Struthio camelus: one gene and its partners. The main gene of each other region encodes a partner of the protein of the gene in region 2 in a complex. Links are inferred from orthologs where the notes say so. Each region holds a gene or a part of one and is shown on either strand. Other genes may lie near its edges.

Region 1 (7,578 bases), on a different chromosome or scaffold from region 2:
CATTTGTGTAATTACTCCTGACTTAACCATCCAGTTTTTCAAACTGAAACCTGAAATTCATAAAAATACTAATAAATGTCACTGCAAACTATTATTTTGGATTGTCTTGGAACTAGAGGATGAAATCTATGTCTTACTGTTCTGGATTTCTTTTAAGTAAAAGGTTTTTTTACATGAAAGGAAATAAAGAACGTTTAGCTCAGTGTGAATCAACACGCATCTGACAAGTTTGTGTACTCAGGTACACTTTTAAAATATCAGTGTTACAGTAGTCTAGCCTGTATTCTAAAAACATACATTAAATTCTTATAAATACATATTCCCTGTTATGAATGCCCACCAGGACATTTTGCTATCAATTTCCTCCTGATATTTTTATATATAACATATTAATGAAAATATCACTATATCAGATGAAGAAATATAGACTCTGATGGATAACGGGAAGCAAATAAAGTGGTACTGAGCAGTATTTCCATGTCTGTCTCCAGATGATATTGGATACTTCGGATGTCTGAAGTGTGTCTGACACTTTTAAAAAAACAATTTAGTGCAACTGCAAGGTCCAAGAATGTTGAAAAAAGCTATAGAGCTTTAAAAAAAAAAAAAAAAAACCCTGAATACATACAAGGCCAGGGCCTGCATGAAGTTCCAGATGATAGATTTGAGTTCCGGATTAAGCAATAGTTTGCAATAATCAAATAAACTCTTGTTCTTGTTTACATTTGGAAAATCTAGATTTTTTTTTTTTTAAATTCAGAACATATAATAACTATACTCTCAAGTTTTACCTCAGGAAGAATTTTCTTAAGAAATCACCCCTATACAATTGCTTTTAAAAATTGCTTTGGAATATATGTAACAGTGGCATAAACAAGAAAAAAAAGCCTTAAGAAACATTTCAGAACAGGAAGAATATTTTAAACACACTACACAAACAAAACCACTACCTTAGGCCCATACTAAAATGAGTGTTATTCTAGAATATTAAGCATTACAGCTGTATATTTTTCTGCTGAGCCAAAGCCTTCCATTCAAAGGGCAAAGTACATTTCAGAACTTGTTTTTCTTTCAAAACTATTAATTTAAATAGTACTAGCAAGCTATTAAAAAAAAAAAAGAAAAAGGTAAAGACACCTCTTACGAGTGAGAGGGATTCTAGAAATCAGAACAAAGCCCCTGCAAATCACTAGTTGCTAATAAAGCACCGGTAAAAGCATGTATCGCTAAAGCCTGTGTAGTCTGGCGCTAGGCCTCAAAAACAAGGAGACAGCCTGAGTGCCAGAAAGTGAGCCACCTGCAGCATGGCACCCATGGAAGCCTTTCCCCTTCCTGCCAAATAGTGCTCAAGCAGGAAGTCACCCCCAGCAGCACCGGCCTCATCCTTGACAAGGAGCGCGGTAACCCCGCTCCCCACAGCGCCCGCGGGCCCAAATCCCACTGGCCCTCCACAAAAGGAAGCCCAGGAAAAGTGAAACAGAAGCACTTTGGGGCCAGCTGAAAAAACACGAGAGACCACTGAAAGGCAGGGTAACAAGTTTGCCCCTGCGCCTCTCTGCAGAGAGCTCCTGGGTGGTTCTCCCCTCCTCCTGGAAAGCATCTAGACGCAATCATCGCACAGCAAGTTACACAAAGCCTGGAAAATTTGATCTGAACCATTCGTATCCCTGTGTAAACAATACTACTGCGTACAACGGACATTGCAACAACGCGCTAAACTTTCAGTTTAAAAAACCTGAATGTCACGTAAAACGCAGAAAAAGCAACAGGTTTACTGTATGGAGCAGCATCAATAAAACCTGAGAGATAAGCCTGAGCAAAGTCTATACAAAAAAAAAAAGCTATCTGTGCTCTCTGTTAGAAAAAAACTAATTCTATCCTCAAATGAAACTAATCATTCAAAGTTACACTGAGAACTACAGCAAGCTTATTTAGCTCATGGAATCATTCTACAGATCCAAAAAAAAAAAAAAAAAAAAGGTATCATCTCATTCACTTAAAACGTGGGAAACTTTATAAGCTACAACTGAAGATCAACCAAGAAGTCACACACTTACATGGTCTCTCCGGTCTTAGCAACATGACAAAGAAACTGATCCAGTATTGGACACACTTCCTTCTTTCCTCTCTTCTCAAAATCTGTTGGTACGAGGAAGAACACGAAAGCAATAGGAAAAGAAGAGAGGACAGGACAAAAATTCGTAACAATTAGGCATCGATTTGCTTCAACTATCCGCACAGCTCCCCCCTTCCCCCCACCCCCCCAAAAAAAGACATTTCCACACTTCCTCAGTTTGTTCCCAAGAGCTCCCCCAGCCCTCCAACCCTGCAAAACACTTGATACTTCTCGTGTGAAGAAAACTACACACATCCCAGGGGCAAAAAGTTGATTTGTAACTTCTTTTGAGCAGCTACCGGGGGGGGGGAGGGTGGAGAGAGAGAGAAAGAGAGAGCGAGAGAGGCCGATTTCCTCAGGCTGCGTCCAGCCAGACGAGCTGCCACAGGACCGGGCCGGGGGGGGAGTCCGTGCGCCTGGCCGAGGGAAGCGGCAGCGCAGGCCGGCCCCGACCCCGGCCCCGGCCCGGGGGCAGCGGCGAGGACGGCCCGGGGCCGGAGCGGAGGGACCGGCGGCCGCCACCCCCCCCCAACCCCCCCGGTGGCTGTCGGGGCGCTGGGGCCAGGCCTCGGCTTCCCCCTCCCCCACCGCCCCCACAGAGACCCCCCCCCGCGCCCGCCTCAGCGTGAGGGGACACAGCTCCCCCCCCCCCCCCGCCACCGCCGCTTTCCCCCGCCCGGCGCCACCTTTCAGAGCCTCCTGCAGCCGCTCGACGTCCATGATCCGCCCGGGCGTCCCCCCGCGCCCCCCCCCTCCCCAGCCCGCGCAGCACACGGGCTCCGGCCGCCGCGCACACACAGACACACACACAGACAGACAGACAGACGCGGGGCTCAGCAACCCTCCAACATGGCGCCCGGGCCGTCCCCGTGCGCGGCCCCGACGGCCCTCCCCCTCTCCCGCCGGGGGGGCGGGGCGGGGCGGCGGTGGCGCGCGGGGGGCGGGGCCGCCGCCGCGCGCGGGGCGGGGCGGGGCGGAGTGGAGGGGCGGCGGTTGCGGCCGCCTCAGGCGGGGCGGGGGTGGCCCTGCCGCGCTGCTGTCCTGCTCGAGGCGGCTCCCGCCCTCCCGCCTCTGCCCACGCACAGCCGCGACACGAGAGGCGCCTCCTAACCAGGCGGCTCCTCCCCGCCCCCAGTACTGACCGCGTAGGACGCTCCCTTCTTCTCACCACACCTAAAAACGTGGTGGAGAAGTCGGGGCAGTCGGTCCCTTCTGGAGAAGGTCTCTAAAAACACAGTGGTGAAGGCCAGGCACTCAGTCCCTTCTGGAGAAGGTCCCTAAAAACGTGGTGAAGCCCAGGCACTCGGTCCCTTCTGGAAAAGGTCCCTAAAAAAGTGGTGGTGAAGGCCAGGCAGTCACTCCCTTCTGGAAAAGGTCCCTAAAAACGCGGTGGTGAAGGCCAGGCAGTCGCTCCCTTCTGGAGATGGTCCCTAAAAACGCGGTGGTGAAGGCCAGGCAGTCGCTCCCTTCTGGAGATGGTCCCTAAAAACACGGTGGTGAAGCCCGAGCAGTCAGTCCCTTCTGGAAAAGGTCCCTAAAAACGTGGTGGTGAAGGCCAGGCAGTCGCTCCCTTCTGGAGATGGTCCCTAAAAACACGGTGGTGAAGGCCGGACACTCAGTCCCTTCTGGAAAAGGTCCCTAAAAACGTGGTGGTGAAGGCCAGGCACTCAGTCCCTTCTGGAAAAGGTCCCTAAAAACGTGGTGGTGAAGGCCAGGCACTCAGTCCCTTCTGGAAAAGGTCCCTAAAAACGTGGTGGTGAAGGCCAGGCACTCGGTCCCTTCTGGAAAAGGTCCCTAAAAATGTGGTGGTGAAGGCCAGACAGTCGGTCCCTTGTGGAGAAGGTCCCTAAAAACACGGTGGTGAAGGCCGAGCAGTCAGTCCCTTCTGGAGAAGGTCCCTAAAAACGTGGTGAAGCCCAGGCACTTGGTCCCTTCTGGAAAAGGTCCCTAAAAACGTGGTGGTGAAGGCCAGGCAGTCGCTCCTTCTGGAAAAGGCTCCGAATGAGCAAGGAGGGGATCGGGGCAGAGTCCAGGCTGAAGCGGCGGTGGCCGGGGTCCGGGCGAGGGGGAGACGCCTGTCGGCTGGTTTTAGCCAGCCATTGGCATATGGACTCGCCTGCTGTGGACACTTCTGCAAAAAAAAATGGAAATGCTTGTTAAAAAAAAAAAAGAGAGAGAGAGAGATGTTGTGAAAAAGGTAGCCAAATATCGATGCCAACTGTTACTCTAGGCATGTGTGAGCCGGCGCATCTGCTGTAATTTACTATTAGGTACAATCCTGATATAGACCTGGAGGGTGGCCCAGGCGCCTCTGGAGGCCTCATGCGCATGCTGACGGCCCTCCTGCCCCGCGCACGGCGAAGCAGGTCCCGTCCCCACCACTCTTGGCCTGCCCTGTGAGTCCCGGATCTATCGTACCGTTTCAGAGCAGTCCCTAAAAAGATAATAATGCCTGTGGCTGAACTGACTTTTCTGCTCTCCCAGGTCGATAACGTACCAGAGAACCTCTGATACAGCTCCGTTTCTTACAACTGCTGCTAACATCATAGCTGAATGATCAGGTTTGAGGACCACCATAAATGGCTAAAAGACAACCTTGGTACCTATGGCAAGCACATCCTTGCTGAAAGATATTTTCTCTGGTTCCTTGTGTTGATTGTATCATGTAGGAATATCCAGGCTGTGGAATTAACAGTCTGTGTTGGCATTTTCATCATATAGGAACCCTAACTTTCATCTGGCTTCTGGAATCAAGACCTGTATGGTCTAGACCTTCTAGATGACCCTCAGGGTCTCTGACCTTAGAACTATACAATACTAACAGGAATATCTAAGGTTTCATATTTACAGATGAGCAGTACAAATCCCTTGTTCTATACTGTTCTGTGAAAAACCTTCCTTAACAACAAATCTTTGTAAAAGCTGCAATAGGGCACAGAAATGCTGAGTAGAGAGGGCAGTGAATGAACCTCTGTGGTCCCCTCTCCCTTCATCTGATCAAAAGGTGAAGGGAAAAAGGGAAGCAGCAGTCGACCAAGCCAACCACATGGGACGGGCCCTGCTGTTTAAGGTACCTGTCAGGGCCAAACATGCACCATGCCTTGCTCTCATCTCCTAATAAAAGAGGAAGAGTGGCACTTAAGACTGTTGAGACAATTTGTTATAGGATGCCATTTTAAGAGATTAAACTGTTGCAGATCAGGTCCAATACAAAATAAGGGAGGTAGAAACTGAGCTCAAGGTGACTGAAGCTTGTGCTATGCTATGACAGGGAGTTTAGGGAAAGTGTCTCTCATAAACTTCAAAAATAGTTTAGAGCAGATAGAGGTACTTCAGATTTAATACTTTGGGGCTCTCTCTGACTAAGTATGAATAGCTGAAAGTTGTTGAAAGTCTAGCTCCAAGTGCTGCTACTTCTAAATGCTTTACAAAGGCATCGTCTATTTTGTGCCATGGATCAATTCTCAGCTTTTTATAAAGGAAAATCACATTCCCTACTGGACATGAAAAATCCCAACAATACTTAGGACTTGGCACTTTTACCTTCTTGTACATTTCTCTTGCGTTAGGGATTCCCTTGCCTCGGGCCAGCATCACTAGCCCTATTAAGCACACAAAGAACCACAGAGACAAAGACAGGACTTGCCCCAACCCGTGGGGGAAAAAAAAATCAGCGCATGAGGTGGAATTAATAAAACCTTAATGAATTTAGCTACCATTTTCTTCTGATCACTTTGTTCATCATAAAAACATGCTGAAAGAATGAGTAACAGCAGAGCTAAGGCATATATTCTTAAGAGAAATGAATACTGAATTGTTTTCTCTGAAGTTAGCCAAGGGCACTGTTAACAATTTGTATTAGTAGCTCTCCTGCCCTTGCAGCTCTGCTACCATGACTTTCCCCATCTCATGCCCTCTGTAGTATGTTTACCCTTCTAGGATTAGAAATCTCTACAAACCGAAACTAAATTAGTTTGCTTGGACAATAATCTACTCTCTACGGTATTAATGTCCTCCCCCAAAACATCAGTGGGTACTCATGGCAAGCAAGTGAAAAAATCTCTTCAACAAGAAAGGAACTGCATTGAGAAAAGACTTGACAGAGGACAGGGGAAGGTTTCAAAGCAAACAGTGGATATGGAAATGAAAACAGAAGTGCTGAGGCCTGTAAGCAGATGCACTGGCAATAGAAAAGGAACATACAATTCAGATTACAGGTTAGCCTATGTTCTTTTCCTTGGGATCCACTTTATTATTACAAAAGAGGTATAAAAGTCCAGTTAAAGTAACAAAAAACTAGCTTACCTTTTTAACCTTCAGCAAAACAGAACAGTGGAGAACATAGGGCACAGGTTCTCTTAAATCATGTCTATATCCTAGCAGACTACATTTACCCCCAGATACCATATCGGCTCTCATCCACAGCACAGCTTGTTCTTTATAATAATTCTCAAAGGTGGTCACATGCCCTCAATTTTCAGCTCTTCCTGAGGAACTGCATTTCCCAGCATGACTGCTGTTAAAGAATCCCAACAGCCAAAACAAGCCTAGAAGAGGCATAAACATACATTTTAAAGTCTAGTACAGTTAGACAACCCACTTAAAAACCCCTATGAGAGCAAATTCAATCTTCCTAAACAACATCCCATTCCATTTGGAGGTATCACCAAGAACACAATAAAGACCATAATTACCGTCAATTTGAAAAGCTGTGCTGCTAGCCTGTTCTGCTAAAACAGAAAAAAAATTAAAAGCGTTCCCAAGACACCTAGAATTAATATTGAAAACTGGGACAACATAGCATTTCTTCAGTTAAAAAGCTAGTTGCAGGGAATAAAAAGGAATATGTTTTTTTCTAAATTCCTCTACTACATTCTGTACAGAAATATAGAACTAATTCAACAGCTTGTAATAGAACATAACACACTCATATAACCTTTTAATTAAGTACTTTAGAGCCACTTCTTTGCACTCAGAAAGTAGCAAGTGAGGTTTGAGTCTACAGCTGTATCATGTGGTAGGTACGCTTGGAGCCCTATTACCTTTTGTACCTTTGTTATTTGCAAGTTATAAATCTAATTGGCACTGCTCTGTAACACGGATGCTGCTCTGAGGATAGGTAATGCCATTAGGAGCCACAGATGCTCAGATCTTGTTTCTAGAAACAAGGTGTAAGTTAATATCATAATTTCTGCAGGATTTAGCTGGTAGAGGAAGACCACCTCTCATTTCCTTCCAATCCTTTTATTTCCTAGTTTGAGAAAAGTGGACTTACATCTTTTGAAGTGTAGCACTTATCACATTTGTAGTATATTAAATAAATTACTACAGTGATACACTGGGAATGGCATTGCAGGAAGATCTTTATTTCAAAATGCGGTAGAATTCACAAGTAAACAAACCATATACTAACATTGACTTTTCATTGTTAGCAGCTTGTCTGATTCCTTCCATTTGGTCAG
Region 2 (7,472 bases):
CAGATTGGGAGGACTTTGAGGACTGGAATAATGGGATGAAATTTACTCATACAAAGTGCAGGACCATTCAGTGAAGGCTAATACTGAGAATTTAGACTCTAAGACAGGAGTTAATTAGTTTTAGACGACTGTGGAAGAGAACGACCTCTTGTATCAATTGATCACAAGGTAACTGTGAGCTGCCAATGCAGTATATTTGGTAAGCTATCTCTTGAAGATATTCATTCTCCATAAAAGGCATTACTTCCCTGAAGCTGCTGTCTACAATACTATATAAAATTCTGGTCACCTTAATTCAAGACAGGTGAAGTCAAACTGCAGCAGGTGGGAAGAGGCCAATCAGGATGACCAGGAGAACTGAGAGCCTGTTTTATGAGAGAAGACTAAATGTTGAGCTTAGCTTGTTTAGCCCAGGATTAGAGGAGATATGATTGTGATCTTTAAATAGCAGGAAAGGAAGAATGCTTTAAAGTAAAGTACAATGCTGGTACATGAAGAAAGTAGGTAAACTGGCCAACAGTAATTTTAGGTAGAAAATCTGAAGTTTCTATAGCAACCAATGAGTAAAGAATACTGGAAGGCAAAAACTGGTTAGTTTTAATATCAGGTTTGTCTTGTTTATGACAGACTGCTCACTGTTGTCATAGCAAGGAACTGGAGTCATTGGCTACCTTTGTATTAGGAATAGAAACCGTGTGCTGGTCTTTGGCTCTGAGGCAAGCTGGCTTGACCGTGTTCACAGCAGTAAACTCCCTTAACCTCCCACACAGGGCACTCGTATCCTTGCTGCCTGCCGAGAATGGTCTGGGCTGGTGCTAACTCCTGACCTGAACGAAGGGACTGTTTGGGGGAATTCGTGCTGGCCTTGGGGACCGTTCTGGCAATGTAAGCAGTACGGAAGGCTGAGCTCCAGCCCCTGGGCCTAGGCCCAATATTGTTTAATTTATGTAATTGGTTCCAGAGATTTCTTCAGCTCCCTGCTCCTTTTTAAGGGTTGAAAAAATTCCCCGTAAAATATTGTCTAGACCTCTGTACTTACATACTGACGTCACTGAGATTTTTGCCATTGTCGATCTGCTTTCTAAAATGTAAATAAATACTGTTTTATGTGGATACTTCAAAAGTTAGTAAATCTGGGCAAAAGATGTGTATTTTTAAAAAATAGAAAAAAAATCACTTAAACTTCATAAAGCAATGTGCTATTAGATCCTACTCCGGATCAGATATTCACAAATAGCTAGAAGGTATGAGGAAAATAGCAATACATATTTACTCTGTTGTTATTTTGTCTTCCTGCATGTGTTATTAACTGCTTTTGGAGACAGGACAGCAGATTAGACATGGCAGGAGAGCTAGCTTTTCTTAGAAAGAATAGAGAATGCAGTCACCGTAATCTTATACATGTCATATTGCCTAAAAAAGGATATCTTTTGTGTACATATAAAATAACCTTAAAACCTTTTTGTTTCTTAGATCTTAATGGAGAGTATTAAGTTATAGGAAAGCATTGGGAGAACGGTTCACAGGTGATGAAAGCACAATGAGTACAATCCTGTGTTTTTCCATATACCCTTTTTAATTATATAGCTGTTACAATCAGTTGACAGAAGTGGCAAAAGAGCAATCAGAAATTTTTTGCAAATGACACTAGGACAATGCAGCAACAGTTTCTTAGCAACAAACTGGAAAATATGCTAAATAATGTTTTTATCTGACTGAGATTTGTATATACTACGTTTCAAGAATTGTTCCAAAGTAGACAGATTTTTCTGTGTGGTTCTTTTAGACTAATGTACTTACAGGTTTGCCTCCACTTGGAGTTTTGTTTGTTTTTGTTTGTTTGTTTGTTTTTTGAAGAGTAGCTTTTCGTGGACACATTCTTCCTTGGGGTAAGAATAAAATAAGAAATCTTGTTTTGGAATATCTTAATCCGAAAAATGTTTTTAACATTTATTAAATAAGCAGTAACAAAGCATTCACCTGTGAATCTAGACTTTTATATTCAAACAAGCTCTTGTCCATTTCGTTTTCTTGATGCTGTACTTCCACATCAGGAACTTTATCTAGATTGTGAACTGAAAAACATATCTGAGTCATGTTTCCAGTGAAGTGAAAGTACTGTGGTCATTAATAGAAGGAGGAGATAGTGGTTTAAATATGAAGCCAGGAATTGAGGGGAGAAATGTAAGCTTAAGGCATTAGATGGAATATCAAAGCTGCATTTTTGAAGGGTTTGGTGGACTGCAGTAAAGAGCCATCTTGGTGGTGAACAGACTGAAATGAAATTTCTGCACACTCAATTTAGGTGCTGAGTCCTGGCAGAACTGTGATTATGCAGTGCATGAATTACATAGTGTACAGCTGGAGAAGGCATGTCCTTCTGTATCTTCCACACTAGGTCTTTCATATCGCAACTGATTTAGGCATTGCAACACATTCTGAGACTTGCTAAATTTTCAACTTCTCTGTGAATAATCTGATTTATAGGTTAATTCTCTGGGAACGTATAACAGGTAAAGTAAGAATCACAAGCTTTTCAGAGCAATTTTGAAAATGGAGACACCTAACTGCTGGGTAACAAAGCTCTAACTGCAAAGGTTAAAAAAAAGAAGGTGAAGAGTGGAAATGAGTCTTCATTGTAGAGTCACTGCCAAGTATGTCAAAAGATTTTTTTTTAACTTGGGATTAATTTAAAAGCATTCATCAGGGGAGGTACCTGCTTTGGACTTTTCATTAAAATCAGAAAGGCTTATAAAACAGAAGATTTCTTGTGAGTAATTCCGTTTTGCAAGAGTCCTGGTAGTGGACTAGGACACAGTGAAGGTGTCCTAGCACACCTGACCCAGAAGGGAGGGGACACTACTCAAGGCAAGGGTGTTGCAGCAGGGGAAGTGGAGCAATGTGGAGGCTGTGGCAGTGGAAGGGCAGCTCCACAGGGGCCGTGGCAGTGGAAGGGGATCCCTGTGGCAGCCGTGGCAGTGGAAGGAGATCCCTGTGAAGGCCGTGGCGGTGCAAGGGCAGCTCCACAGGGGCCGTGGCAGTGGAAGGGGATCCCTGTGGCAGCCGTGGCAGTGGAAGGGCAGCTCCACAGGGGCCGTGGCAGTGGATCCCTGCGGCAGCCATGGCAGTGGAAGGGCAGCTCCACAGGGGCCGTGGCAGTGGAAGGGGATCCCTGCGGCAGCCGTGGCAGTGGAAGGGCAGCTCCACAGGGGCCGTGGCAGTGGATCCCTGCAGCAGCCGTGGCAGTGGAAGGGCAGCTCCACAGGGGCCGTGGCAGTGGATCCCTGCAGCAGCCGTGGCAGTGGAAGGGCAGCTCCACAGGGGCCGTGGCAGTGGAAGGGGATCCCTGCGGCAGCCGTGGCAGGGGAAGGGCAGCTCCACAGGGGCCGTGGCAGTGGAAGGGGATCCCTGTGGAGGCCGTGGCAGTGGAAGGGCAGCTCCACAGGGGCCGTGGCAGTGGATCCCTGCAGCAGCCATGGCAGTGGAAGGGCAGCTCCACAGGGGCCGTGGCAGTGGAAGGGGATCCCTGTGGAGGCCGTGGCAGGGGAAGGGCAGCTCCACAGGGGCCGTGGCAGTGGAAGGGGATCCCTGTGGAGGCCGTGGCAGTGGAAGGGCAGCTCCACAGGGGCCGTGGCAGTGGATCCCTGCAGCAGCCATGGCAGTGGAAGGGCAGCTCCACAGGGGCCGTGGCAGTGGAAGGGCAGCTCCACAGGGGCTGTGGCAGTGGAAGGGGAGACCCCTCCACTGTGTGTGGCGGTGGAAGGGGAAGCAGTGGAGCGGGGCCGGCTGCGCCGGGCGAGGCCCCGGCAGTAGGACGCATCCCCCGGCGGGTGGCGGGGGTGGGGGGGTTGGGCTGTGCCGGGAGCCCGGACGGGGGTCGTACACGCGGGAGCGGATCCCCGCACAGAAGGGCCTGCGGGCAGAGGTGACGGCGCAGAGCGCCCTGGCGCGTGTCCGACCCCACGCCCGTGTGCGTCCCCGCGCGGCGCGGCACAGCAGGCAGAAGGGCGGCGGGAGGCGACGGCGGCGCGAGACGGTTAACGGCCGGGGGGGGGAGGGGGGAAGGGGGGCGTGCCCCGGCCCTCGCGAGGAGCGGCCGCGCCCGCGCCCCCAGCGCGTTCGGCTATTACCGCGCTCGGGAAGCTCTTTTGCCCCGCCGAGGCCGCTGTAGCGCCGCGTTGCCCCGGCGACCGGCTCGGCGGTGGCAGGGCGGCCCCAGTGGCGGCGGCTGGGAGGCGGCTCCGCGGGGCTGGCGTCGCGCGGGGGGCGCTGAGGCGCCGGAGCCGGGGGCCGTCCCGGCGCGGACGCCGCGGCAGTCGCTCCCTGCCGTCGTCGGCGGCGGCGGGGTGGGGGGGACAGCTGCGCTGAAGGAGTGGGCCGGGGCCGGGGCCGGGGGAGGGGAGCGACACTGCACCACGGCGGCCGTCCCTCCCCCCGGGGCGGGGAGGGCAGGGGCGGCCCCCCGGGAGGCTGCTGGGCCGGGGCGCTGCGCGGCCGGCCGGGGCTGCTCCTTCAGCCGGTGCCTTCAGTGAGGAGAGCGGGGCGAGCCTGTCGCCCGCAGCCTGCGCTGGAGGAAGGGACTCGGCTGTCTGCTGCCCCCCGCCTTGCCTTCCCCGCGGGCCCTGAAGCGGCCTGGCCCCTCGCCCCCCTCGGCGAACACGGGCAGTCCGCGACGAGAGGAAAGTTGGCTCCAAACTCTCCCTCCGCTTCCTCGCCCCGGGATAACAGCGAGCCGCTGCCTGCCCGCCCCCGGGGGGAGCGGAGCGGAGCGGCCGGAGAAAGTTTGGCGGCGGGGGGCTGTGGCGGAGGCGGGCGGCAGCGGTGCCGCAGTGTGTGCGCTGAGGCGGCGGGGCTCGGCGGCTGCCGGCGGCGGGAGGCAGGCGCTGCTCGCAGACTTGGAGGGGGTGTTGCGTGGTGTCAGTCGTTTCTCCTCCAGTGCGATGTGAGACTCGGAGAGAGCATCGGTTGCCAAAGGCTCTGGTTGTTACATGCATCCAATAATCTTCTTCTCCAAAATGGATTTTACTCAGAGCAATTTATTTGGATACATAGAAGACCTGCAGGAGCTAACTATTATAGAAAGGCCAGTACGCAGGAGCCTGAAGGTATCTACTTCAAAATTGAATGATGCTTTAAAATCCATTTGAAATTTTTGCTGCTTGTATTTATGCACTGCCAGCTGACCAGGCAGTTTATTTTTACAGCACCAGAACATTAAAGCTTGTTTTCAGTTATGCTGGAATATACAATCTTGACTTCAGTATAGCCAGGAGTTAATATTTTCAGTGTAAGGGTGTTAAGCTGGAAAAAATGGACTAACATAAGCCTTTAATTTATATGTGACGTGTTTATGCTGTGTTTTAAATGATTAATAATGAGAGTATCTGACATGAAACTGTACTTTTATTATATCCCATCTCTTCCTGGTGAAAGATTTATTTGACTGAATTTGAAATAATTGGCTAGAGATTTCAGGGGTTAAATTCAAATTACTCATGTAACTATCCTTGAACATGGGGAGGAAGGGTTTGTTTTAAGAAGACTAAAACAAAGAAATAGTATGGCATTGTAAATTCATAATCTCTATTTCACACTTGACAGACACCAGAAGAAATAGAAAGATTGACAGTTGATGAAGAACTCAATGATATTGAAAGGGCTGTTTATCTACTCAGGTATTTCCTAAAGTATTATTGTGAAACACTGCTGACCATCATGTTGACATACAGTTTTTTGTGCTCTTTCTCCTTAGTCCTTTTATTTTCTATCTTTACATAGTAGTTGTTTTATACTTTTGGCTACATTAGGTATATAGGCAAGATTAAAATAGACACTGTCATTTTGTTAAACTTGGATGGAATAGGATGCCTGTGTGGACGTACGGATATTTCTTTGCCGAGTTTCTAATATGGCCCTCAGCAATAATGAGTTGTACTTCGTCTTCTTTTTCTCTGCAATTGGTTTTGCAAGATTCCCTGAGTCAAGTTGACATTAATAAGAGCAATCATTCGGTGACTTCATAGTCACTCTAGGGCATGGGCAGTTACCACGGACTGATAGCAGAGCTGTCTGAACATATTGTATACGTTTGCGCTATCAGAAGAGAAGACTTAAAGATTAGTTTCATAGTCTTTAGGAAATACTGCAGAATACATTATTTTAATATTAATCAATGTTCTGTTTTTTCATTTTATCTTCCTCTTTAAAGTACTTGAATAGCTTAAATTTTGATGGATTCAAACACAAATCTCTTTCAACTCTGCTGCAAAAGTAATCTCTGAGAGTAGGAATGTTCTGAGGCATTTTGATTTGAATATGCGTTTTAAACAATACTTAGTAATTGGAGAACCAGCTGCAGCTCCTTCGCAGTTTGCTTATTCTGCTATTTTAAGTGCTCTTACAGCCTATGCCTGTCCTCAATTTAAAAATATATTTTTTCAATGCCTTAATTTTCTCTTTTTGGGTATGTGGTGTTACTTTTAGGTAAACATTTTTGTCCACTAGTAGTATTTTGATACTGAATTTTTTGTGTTTTTTCATGCTAATTTTTTTTCTTCATTAAGTAATGGAGTTTAAAACTTCCGCTACTGCGGATAGATACTACAGATAGTAATCAAAGTAGTCTTTTGGCTCTAGGGTAATCTAGAGAAACCAATGTCGTTGCATATCATTTTAGGTTTTTTTATCTCACAGCGATCAGCATGGTCATCTTTTTTTTTTTCTCCTTCATGTGAAGCAGCAGATCTCTTGCTCCTTTCCTGATTAAAGATAGTGTTTCCAACAATAGGTCGTTACTGCATCATTGCGTGGTTAAAGGGTAAAAGGTTTGACTTCATATTTTTTATCTTACTAATTACTTTTCAACTTGGCCTTGAACTCTTCTTGACATCCTCGTCTACTTTCTCTCTACCTGAACAGCTGTTCTGGGGGACATAATATTCACTTCCTTGTGATGAAGTTTTTATTTTGCTTCTTTGTAGTCCTCATTGCTGAAAGGTAGCTTCATCTCTGCTTGAAAAGCTTTTTGCAAGGCAATTATTTGCTGTGATTATCCAGGTATGTTTATACATTAATCCAGTGGAAGCTTTTGCTGTTCAGTAGTGCATTGCCTTGCTTGCACTGAGTGGAGTGTAAGCAAACAGAGCTGAAAAGCTGTCTGTAACACAAGTAGTATCCTTTATACAATGCGTAAAAGCATATATCATTGTCTTTTCCAGTATTTTTATGAATTAGAATACAACACACCTACTTTTTCCTGTTTGATGGTAATGTCATGGTCTTTTCATGCCTCGTTTTCTCCCACAGGAGAAAGGCATTACTTGCCTTCTTTCAACTTGTCCCTTATGTGGAACTCTCCTTGACGTTATCCCATATGACACTACCTTTTCTGAATATCCCACTATAAAATTTGCTTTAGTGAAATTGAAATGAATCGTCAATGATGGCTGTGTTCTGTTCAATTTCGAGATGGT
Region 3 (7,523 bases), on a different chromosome or scaffold from region 2:
GGGGACGGGGGTCGTGGTGGGACGTGGGGACGGAGGTCCTGGTGGGAGGTGGGGACGGGGGTGCTGGTGGGACGTGGGGACATTGGGACAGGGGTCGTGGTGGGGCATGAGGACATGGGGACGGGGGTGCTGGTGGAACGTGAGGACGTGGGTGCTGGTGGGACATGGTGACATGGGGATGTGCGTCGTGGTGGGACGTGAGGACATGGGGATGTGGATTGTGGTGGGACGTGGGGACGGGGGTGCTGGTGGGACGTGGGGACGGGGGTGCTGGTGGGACGTGGGGACATGGAGATGGAGGTCCTGGTGGGACGTGGGGACGTGGGGATGGGGGTCGTGGTGGGACGTGGGGACATGGAGATGGAGGTCCTGGTGGGACGTGGTGACGTGGTGACGGGGGTCATGGTGGGACATGAGGACGTGGAGACGGAGGTCCTGGTGGGACGTGGGGACGGGGGTCGTGGTGGGACATGAGGACGTGGAGATGGAGGTCCTGGTGGGAGGTGGGGACGGGGGTCATGGTGGGACATGAGGACGTGGAGATGGAGGTCCTGGTGGGAGGTGGGGACGGGGGTCGTGGTGGGACATGAGGACGTGGAGATGGAGGTCCTGGTGGGAGGTGGGGACGTGGAGATGGAGGTCCTGGTGGGATGTGGGGACGTGGTGACGGGGGTCGTGGTGGGACATGAGGACGTGGAGATGAAGGTCCTGGTGGGACGTGGGGACGTGGAGATGGAGGTCCTGGTGGGACGTGGTGACGTGGTGATGGGGGTTGTGGTGGGACATGAGAACATGGAGATGGAGGTCCTGGTGGGAGGTGGTGACGGGGGTCGTGGTGGGACATGAGGACATGGAGATGGAGGTCCTGGTGGGACGTGGGGACGTGGAGATGGAGGTCCTGGTGGGACGTGGTGACGGGGGTCATGGTGGGACATGAGGACGTGGAGACGGAGGTCCTGGTGGGACGGGGGGACGGGGGTCGTGGTGGGACATGAGGACGTGGAGATGGAGGTCCTGGTGGGACGTGGGGACGGGGGTCGTGGTGGGACACGAGGACGTGGAGATGGAGGTCCTGGTGGGACGTGGGGACGGGGGTTGTGGTGGGACGTGGGGGCATGGAGATGAAGGTCCTGGTGGGACATAAGGACATGGGGACGTGGGTCGTGGTGGGACATGGGGACATGGGGACGTGGTGACGGGGGTCGTGGTGGGACATGAGGACGTGGAGATGAAGGTCCTGGTGGGACATGAGAACATGGGGACGTGGGTCGTGGTGGGACATGGGGATGTGGGTCCTGGTGGGACATGGGGACATGGGGACGGGGGTCGTGGTGGGACACGAGGACGTGGAGATGGAGGTCCTGGTGGGACGTGGTGATGTGGTGATGGGGGTTGTGGTGGGACATGAGAACGTGGAGATGGAGGTCCTGGTGGGACGTGGTGACGTGGTGATGGGGGTTGTGGTGGGACGTGAGGACGTGGAGATGGAGGTCCTGGTGGGACGTGGTGACGTGGTGATGGGGGTTGTGGTGGGACATGAGAACGTGGAGATGGAGGTCCTGGTGGGACGTGGTGACATGGGGACGGGGGTCCTGGTGGGACGGGGGGACGGGGGGAGCGCGGGCGTCCGCGGCGTGACGCGCGGCTCCCTGCGCCCGCAGGCCAACTCGCTGGCGTGCCAGGGCAAGTACGCGCCCAGCGGGCCGGCGGGGGCCGCCGCCAGCGAGTCCCTCTTCATCTCCAACCACGCCTACTGAGGGGCCCCGGCGTCCGGGGCCGCCCCGCCCCCCCCCCGCCGCCGCCGCCTCTCCCGCTCCGGCAATAAACGGCATCTGCCTCCGCACCCGCGTCTTGGGGGGCCCGGGCGGCCGGGGGAGGGGACCCAGGTGTCCGGGGAGGGGCCCAGGTGTCCGGGGAGGGGCCCAGGTGTCCGGGAGGGGCCCAGGTGTCCCGGAGGGAACCAAGCGTCTGTAATGGGCCCAGGTGTCCGGGGAGCGGCCCAGGCGTCCTGGAGGGACCCAGGTGTCCAGGAAGGGGCCCAGGCGTCCTGGAGGGACCCAGGTGTCCAGGGAGGGGGCCCAGGAGTCCAGGGAGGGGCCCAGGCATCCGGGGAGGGACCCAGGTGTCCAGGGAGGGGCCCTGGCGTCCGGGAGGGAACCAAGTGTCTGTAATGGGCCCAGCTGTCCGGGGAGGGACCCAGCTGTCCGGGGAGGGACCCAGGCGTCTGAGAGGGGCCCAGGCATCCGGGAAGGGCCCAGGTGTCCTGGAAGGACCCAGGCGTCTGGGGAGGGGGCCCAGGAGTCCAGGGAAGGGCAGAGATGTCCGGAGAGGGGCCCAGGCGTCCCGGAGGGAACCAAGCGTCTGTAATGGGCCCAGGCATCTGGGAGGGACCCAGGTGTCCGGGGGAGGGGCCCAGGCGTCTGGGAGGGGCCCAGGCGTCCTGGAGGGACCCAGGTGTCCAGGAAGGGGCCCAGGCGTCCTGGAGGGACCCAGGCGTCCTGGAGGGACCCAGGAGTCCAGGGAGGGGCCCAGGCATCCGGGGAGGGACCCAGGTGTCCAGGGAGGGGCCCTGGCGTCCCGGAGGGAACCAAGTGTCTGTAATGGGCCCAGGTGTCCGGGGGGACCCAGGTGTCCGGGGAGGGGCCCAGGTGTCCGGGGAGGGGCCCAGGCGTCTGAGAGGGGCCCAGGCGTCCGGGAAGGGCCCAGGTGTCCGGGGGAGGGGGCCCAGGCGTCCGGGGACGGGGGCCCAAGCGTCCGGGAAGGACCAGGGCATCCGGGGAGGGCCCAGGTGTCCGGGAGGGCCCAGGCGTCCGGGGAGGAGGCCCAGGAGTCTGGGAAGGACCAGGGCATCCGGGAAGGGGCCCAGGTGTCCCGGAGGGAAGCAAGCGTCTGTAATGGGCCCAGGTGTCCGGGGAAGGGGCCCAGGTGTCCGGGGAGGGGCCCAGGTGTCCGGGAGGGGCCCAGGTGTCCGGGAGGGAACCAAGCGTCTGTAATGGGCCCAGGTGTCCGGGGAGCGGCCCAGGCGTCCTGGAGGGACCCAGGTGTCCAGGAAGGGGCCCAGGCGTCCTGGAGGGACCCAGGTGTCCAGGGAGGGGGCCCAGGAGTCCAGGGAGGGGCCCAGGCATCCGGGGAGGGACCCAGGCATCCGGGGAGGGGCCCTGGCGTCCCGGAGGGAACCAAGTGTCTGTAATGGGCCCAGGTGTCCGGGGAGGGACCCAGCTGTCCGGGGAGGGGCCCAGGGGTCCGGGGAGGGGCCCAGGCATCCGGGGAGGGACCCAGGCGTCTGAGAGGGGCCCAGGCATCCGGGAAGGGCCCAGGTGTCCTGGAAGGACCCAGGCGTCTGGGGAGGGGGCCCAGGAGTCCGGGGAAGGGCAGAGATGTCCGGAGAGGGGCCCAGGCGTCCCAGAGGGAACCAAGCGTCTGTAATGGGCCCAGGTGTCCGGGGAGGGACCCAGGTGTCCGGGGAGGGGCCCAGGCGTCTGGGGAAGGGCCCAGGGAAGGGCCGAGGTGTCTGGGGAGGGACCTAGGTGTCTGGGAGGGGCCCTGGCATCCGGGAGGGACCCAGGCGGCTGGGAGGGCCCAGGCATCCGGGGAGGGGTCCAGGTGTCTGGGAGGGGCCCAGGCGTCCGGGAGGGGCCCAGGTGTCCGGGCAGGAAGGGGCCCAGGAGTCCAGGAGGGCCCAGGTGTTCGGGAGGGCCTAGGTGTCCAGGAAGGGGCCCAGGCGTCCGGGGAGGGACCGAGGTGTCTGGGGAGGGCCCAGGCATCCGGGGAGGGGCCCAGGCGTCCGGGAAGGACCCAGGTGTCCTGACAAGGACCCAGGAGTCCGGGGAGGGGCCCAGGTGTCCGGGAGGGGCCCAGGCGTCCGGGGGGACCCAGGTGTCCGGGGAGGGACCCAGGCATCTGGGGAGGGACCCAGGAGTTCGGGAGGGGCCCAGGCATCCGGGAGGGGCCCAGGAGTCCAGGGAAGGACCCAGGCATCTGGGAGGGACCCAGGTGTCTGGGAGGGGCCCAGGTGTCCAGGAGGGGCCCAGGCGTCCGGGAGGGGCCCAGGCATCCAGGGAGGGGCCCAGGCATCCAGGGAGGGGCCCAGGAGTCCAGGGAAGGACCCAGGTGTCCGGGAGGGGCCCAGGCATCTGGGAGGGACCCAGGTGTCCGGGAGGGGCCCAGGCATCTGGGAGGGACCCAGGCGTCCGGGGAGGGGCCCAGGCGTCCGGGGAGGGGCCCAGGAGTCCGGGAGGGGCCCAGGAGTCCGGGGAAGGACCCAGGTGTCCGGGAAGGACCCAGGAGTCCGGGAGGGACCCAGGAGTCCGGGGAAGGACCCAGGCGTCCGGGGAGGGGCCCAGGCGTCCGGGGAGGGGCCCAGGCGTCCGGGGAGGGGCCCAGGTGTCCTGGAGGGCCCAGGCGCCCTGGGGAAGGGCCCAGGCGTCCGGGGAGCCCCCGGCGAGCTCTCCCCGCCCACTGGCTCGCGCCCCGTGACGTCACGCCCTGCGGGGCGGCCCTCCCGCACGTCACTTCCGTCCCGCCGGTGGGCGGGGCCGGGGCCGGAAGTGACGCGCGGCGGCGGCGGCGGCCGGGTGCGACCCGCGGCGGGTTCGGGGGTCGCCGGGGGGGTTCGGGGGGGGCCGGTTGGGGGCCGGTTGGTTTTTGGGGGCGGCTGGGGGGTTCTAGGGGCGGTGTGGGGGGGTTGGGGGGGTAGTTGGGGTGTTGCGGGGGCGGTTTGGGGGGGGTTGGGGGCAGGTTGGGGGGTTTTGGGGGTGTTTTGGGGGTGTTTGGGGGCAGTTTGGGGGTTTTGGGGGTGTTTGGGGGCAGTTGGGGGGTAGTTGGGGTGTTGCGGGGGCGGTTTGGGGGGTTTTGGGTACAGGTGGAGGGGGTTGGGGGCGGTTTGGGGGTGTTTGGGGGCAGGTTGGGGGGTTTCGGGGGTGTTTGGGGGCAGTTGGGGGTTTGGGGGCAGTTTGGGGGGTAGTTGGGGGTAGTTGGGGTGTTGGGGCAGTTTGAGGGGGTTGGGGGCGGTTTCGGGGTGTTTGGGGACAGGTTGGGTGTTTTGGGGCAGTTCGGGGGTAGTTGGGGTGTTGGGGCGGTTAGGGGGGTTGTTTGGGGGCAGGTTGGGGGGTTTCGGGGGTGTTTGGGGGCAGTTTGGGGGTAGTTGGGGTGTTGCGGGGGCGGTTTGGGGGGTTTTGGGTACAGGTGGAGGGGGTTGGGGGCGGTTTGGGGGTGTTTGGGGGCAGGTTGGGGGGTTTTGGGGGTGTTTGGGGGCAGTTGGGGGGTTTTGGGGGTGTTTGGGTGCAGTTGGGGGTTTGGGGGCAGTTTGGGGGGCAGCTGGGGGTAGTTGGGGTGTTGTGGGGGCAGTTTGAGGGGGTTGGGGGTGGTTTCGGGGTGTTTGGGGACAGGTTGGGTGTTTTGGGGCAGTTCGGGGGTAGTTGGGGTGTTGGGGCGGTTTGGGGGGTTGTTTGGGGGCAGGTTGGGGGGTTTTGGGGGTCTTTGGGGGTAGTTGGGGTATTGGGGCAGTTTGAGGGGTTTTGGGGACAGTTTGAGGGGGTTGGGGGTGTTTGGGGGCAGGTTGGGGGTTTTGGGGGGCAGTTGGGGGTAGTTGGGGTGTTGTGGGGGTAGTTTGAGGGGGTTGGGAGCGGTTTGGGGACAGTTTGGAGGTTTTGGGGGTCTTTGGGGGCAGTTTGGGGGTAGTTGGGGTGTTGTGGGGGCAGTTTGAGGGGGTTAGGAGCAGTTTGGGGGTGTTTGGGGACAGGTTGGGGGTTTGGGGGTCTTTTGGGACAGTTTGGGGGCAGTTTGGGTTTTGGGGACAGTTTGAGGGGTTTGGGGGCAGGTTTGGGGTAGTTGGGGTGTTGTGGGGGCAGTTTGGGGGGTTTGGGGACAGTTTGGGGGGTGTTTGGGGGTGGTTTTGGGGGTCTTTGGGGGCAGTTGGGGTTTTGGGGCAGTTTGGGGGAGTTTGGGACATTTTGGAGGGTCTTTGGGGGCAGTTTGGGGGGCAGTTTGGGGGTAGATGGGGTGTTGGGACGGTTTGGGGGGGTTGGGGGTGGTTTTGGGGGTGTTGGAGGGTCTTTGGGGGTAGTTTGGAGGGTTTGGGGGCAGTTTGGGGGTAGTTGGGGTGTTGTGGGGGCAGTTTGGGGGCTTTGGTGACAGTTTGAGGGGGTGGGAGCAGTTTGGGGGGTGTTTGGGGGCGGTTTTGGGGGTCTTTGGAGGCGGTTGAGGTTTTGGGGCAGTTTGGGGGTTTTGGGACAGTTTGGGGGGGTTTGGAGGCTGTTGGCGTAGGTGACAGTTTGGGGGCAGTTTGGGGACAGCTGGGGGGATATTTGGGGGCAGTTTGAGGGATTTTGGGGGCCACTTGCGGTTTGGGGGCAGTTTGGGGCAGTTTGAGGGGTTTCGGGGGGCGGTTTGAGGGGTTTGGGGAGACTTGAAGGGATTCAGGGGCTGTTGGGGGAGTTTGGGGGAGCCGGAGGGATTTCGGGGGCAGTTGGGAGGGTTTTGGCTCCGTTGGCGAGGGGGGTGGGCAGGTTTGGGGGGGACGTTTTGGATTTGGGGGGCAATTGAGGGGATTTAGGGGACAGTTGGGGGGAGTTGGGGGGGCAATGGGGGCCCGTTGGGATGTTTTGCAGAGCGCTGGCGCGATTTGGGGTCAGGCTGGGGGTTTTTTTTGGGAGCGGTGGGGGGGGGTCACTTTGGGGGTCTTTAGGGGCACTTGGGGATTTTTGGGTCACTTTGGGGGTCGTCGGGGGGTCGGGGGGGCCGTTGGGGCCTTGGGGGGGGCATTTGGGGGTCGTCGGGGGGTTGGGGGGGCCGTTGGGGCCTTGGGGGGGCATTTGGGGGTCGTCGGGGGGTTGGGGGGGCCGTTGGGGCCTGGGGGGGCATTTGGGGGGTGCAAGCGGAGTTGGGGGGGTCTGGGGGCAATTGAAGGCAACGGAGGGGCAGTTCAGGGGGGGCTGGGGGGGGCTTTTGGGGGGGTGGAGGGCAACTGAGGGGTCCGGGGAGCGATTAGGGGCTCGGGGGGGGTAATTAGGGGCTGTTGGGGGCACTTGGGGGTGTCGGGGGCAGTTAGGGGCTTGAGGGGGGGCTGTTAGGGGCATTTGGGGGGCAATTGGGGGTGCTGGGGGGCAGTTAGGGCATTGGGGGGGCTATTGAGCAGGTAGGGAGTCGGGGGGCAATTAGGGGTGGGGGGCAACGAGGAGGGGGGCTGTGGTGTCCGGGGGGGGCAATTAGGGGTTGTGGGGGGGGTTAATTAGCCCTGATGGGGGGGGCAATTACCGTCCCCCCCCCAAGTGGCCATTTCACGTCACCTGGGATTGACGAGCCAGCACCGATGGGGGGGGGACGAGCCTAGCTGCCGTTGGGGAAAAGGGGGCAAAATTAAGTCATGGGGGTAATTAGGGGGGGCTAATTAACAGTTAATTAGGGGGGCAGGGCCATGGGGGAGCCGAGCGACCTGGACCGGCAGATCGAGCAGCTGCGGCGCTGCGAGCTCATCAAGGAGAGCGAGGTGAAGGCCCTCTGCGCCAAGGCCAGGTACCCCGGGG

What was found.
Region 1: PPP4R4 (region 2) and PPP4R2 share a complex: the UniProt entries of both Homo sapiens proteins name them as parts of the PP4 complex. The link is inferred for Struthio camelus from reciprocal best matches to the Homo sapiens genes PPP4R4 and PPP4R2.
Region 3: PPP4R4 (region 2) and PPP4C share a complex: the UniProt entries of both Homo sapiens proteins name them as parts of the PP4 complex. The link is inferred for Struthio camelus from reciprocal best matches to the Homo sapiens genes PPP4R4 and PPP4C.

Annotation. Positions count from the first base shown.
Region 1 is NC_090955.1:5,358,771-5,366,348, forward strand, and holds the start of PPP4R2 (serine/threonine-protein phosphatase 4 regulatory subunit 2), read right to left. Parts: upstream 3,003-7,578; 5' UTR 2,837-3,002; coding exon 2,803-2,836; intron 2,140-2,802; coding exon 2,058-2,139; intron 1-2,057. UniProt on the Homo sapiens protein: Regulatory subunit of serine/threonine-protein phosphatase 4 (PP4). May regulate the activity of PPP4C at centrosomal microtubule organizing centers.
Region 2 is NC_090946.1:66,790,421-66,797,892, forward strand, and holds the start of PPP4R4 (serine/threonine-protein phosphatase 4 regulatory subunit 4), read left to right. Parts: upstream 1-4,468; 5' UTR 4,469-4,988; coding exon 4,989-5,105; intron 5,106-5,601; coding exon 5,602-5,675; intron 5,676-6,980; exon of another isoform or gene 6,981-7,056; intron 7,057-7,472. UniProt on the Homo sapiens protein: Putative regulatory subunit of serine/threonine-protein phosphatase 4.
Region 3 is NC_090973.1:990,538-998,060, forward strand, and holds the start of PPP4C (serine/threonine-protein phosphatase 4 catalytic subunit), read left to right. Parts: upstream 1-4,521; 5' UTR 4,522-4,574; intron 4,575-7,402; exon of another isoform or gene 7,403-7,410; 5' UTR 7,411-7,414; coding exon 7,415-7,512; intron 7,513-7,523. Other genes in the region: ALDOA (fructose-bisphosphate aldolase A), read left to right, coding at 1,662-1,757. UniProt on the Homo sapiens protein: Protein phosphatase that is involved in many processes such as microtubule organization at centrosomes, maturation of spliceosomal snRNPs, apoptosis, DNA repair, tumor necrosis factor (TNF)-alpha signaling, activation of c-Jun N-terminal kinase MAPK8, regulation of histone acetylation, DNA damage checkpoint signaling, NF-kappa-B activation and cell migration.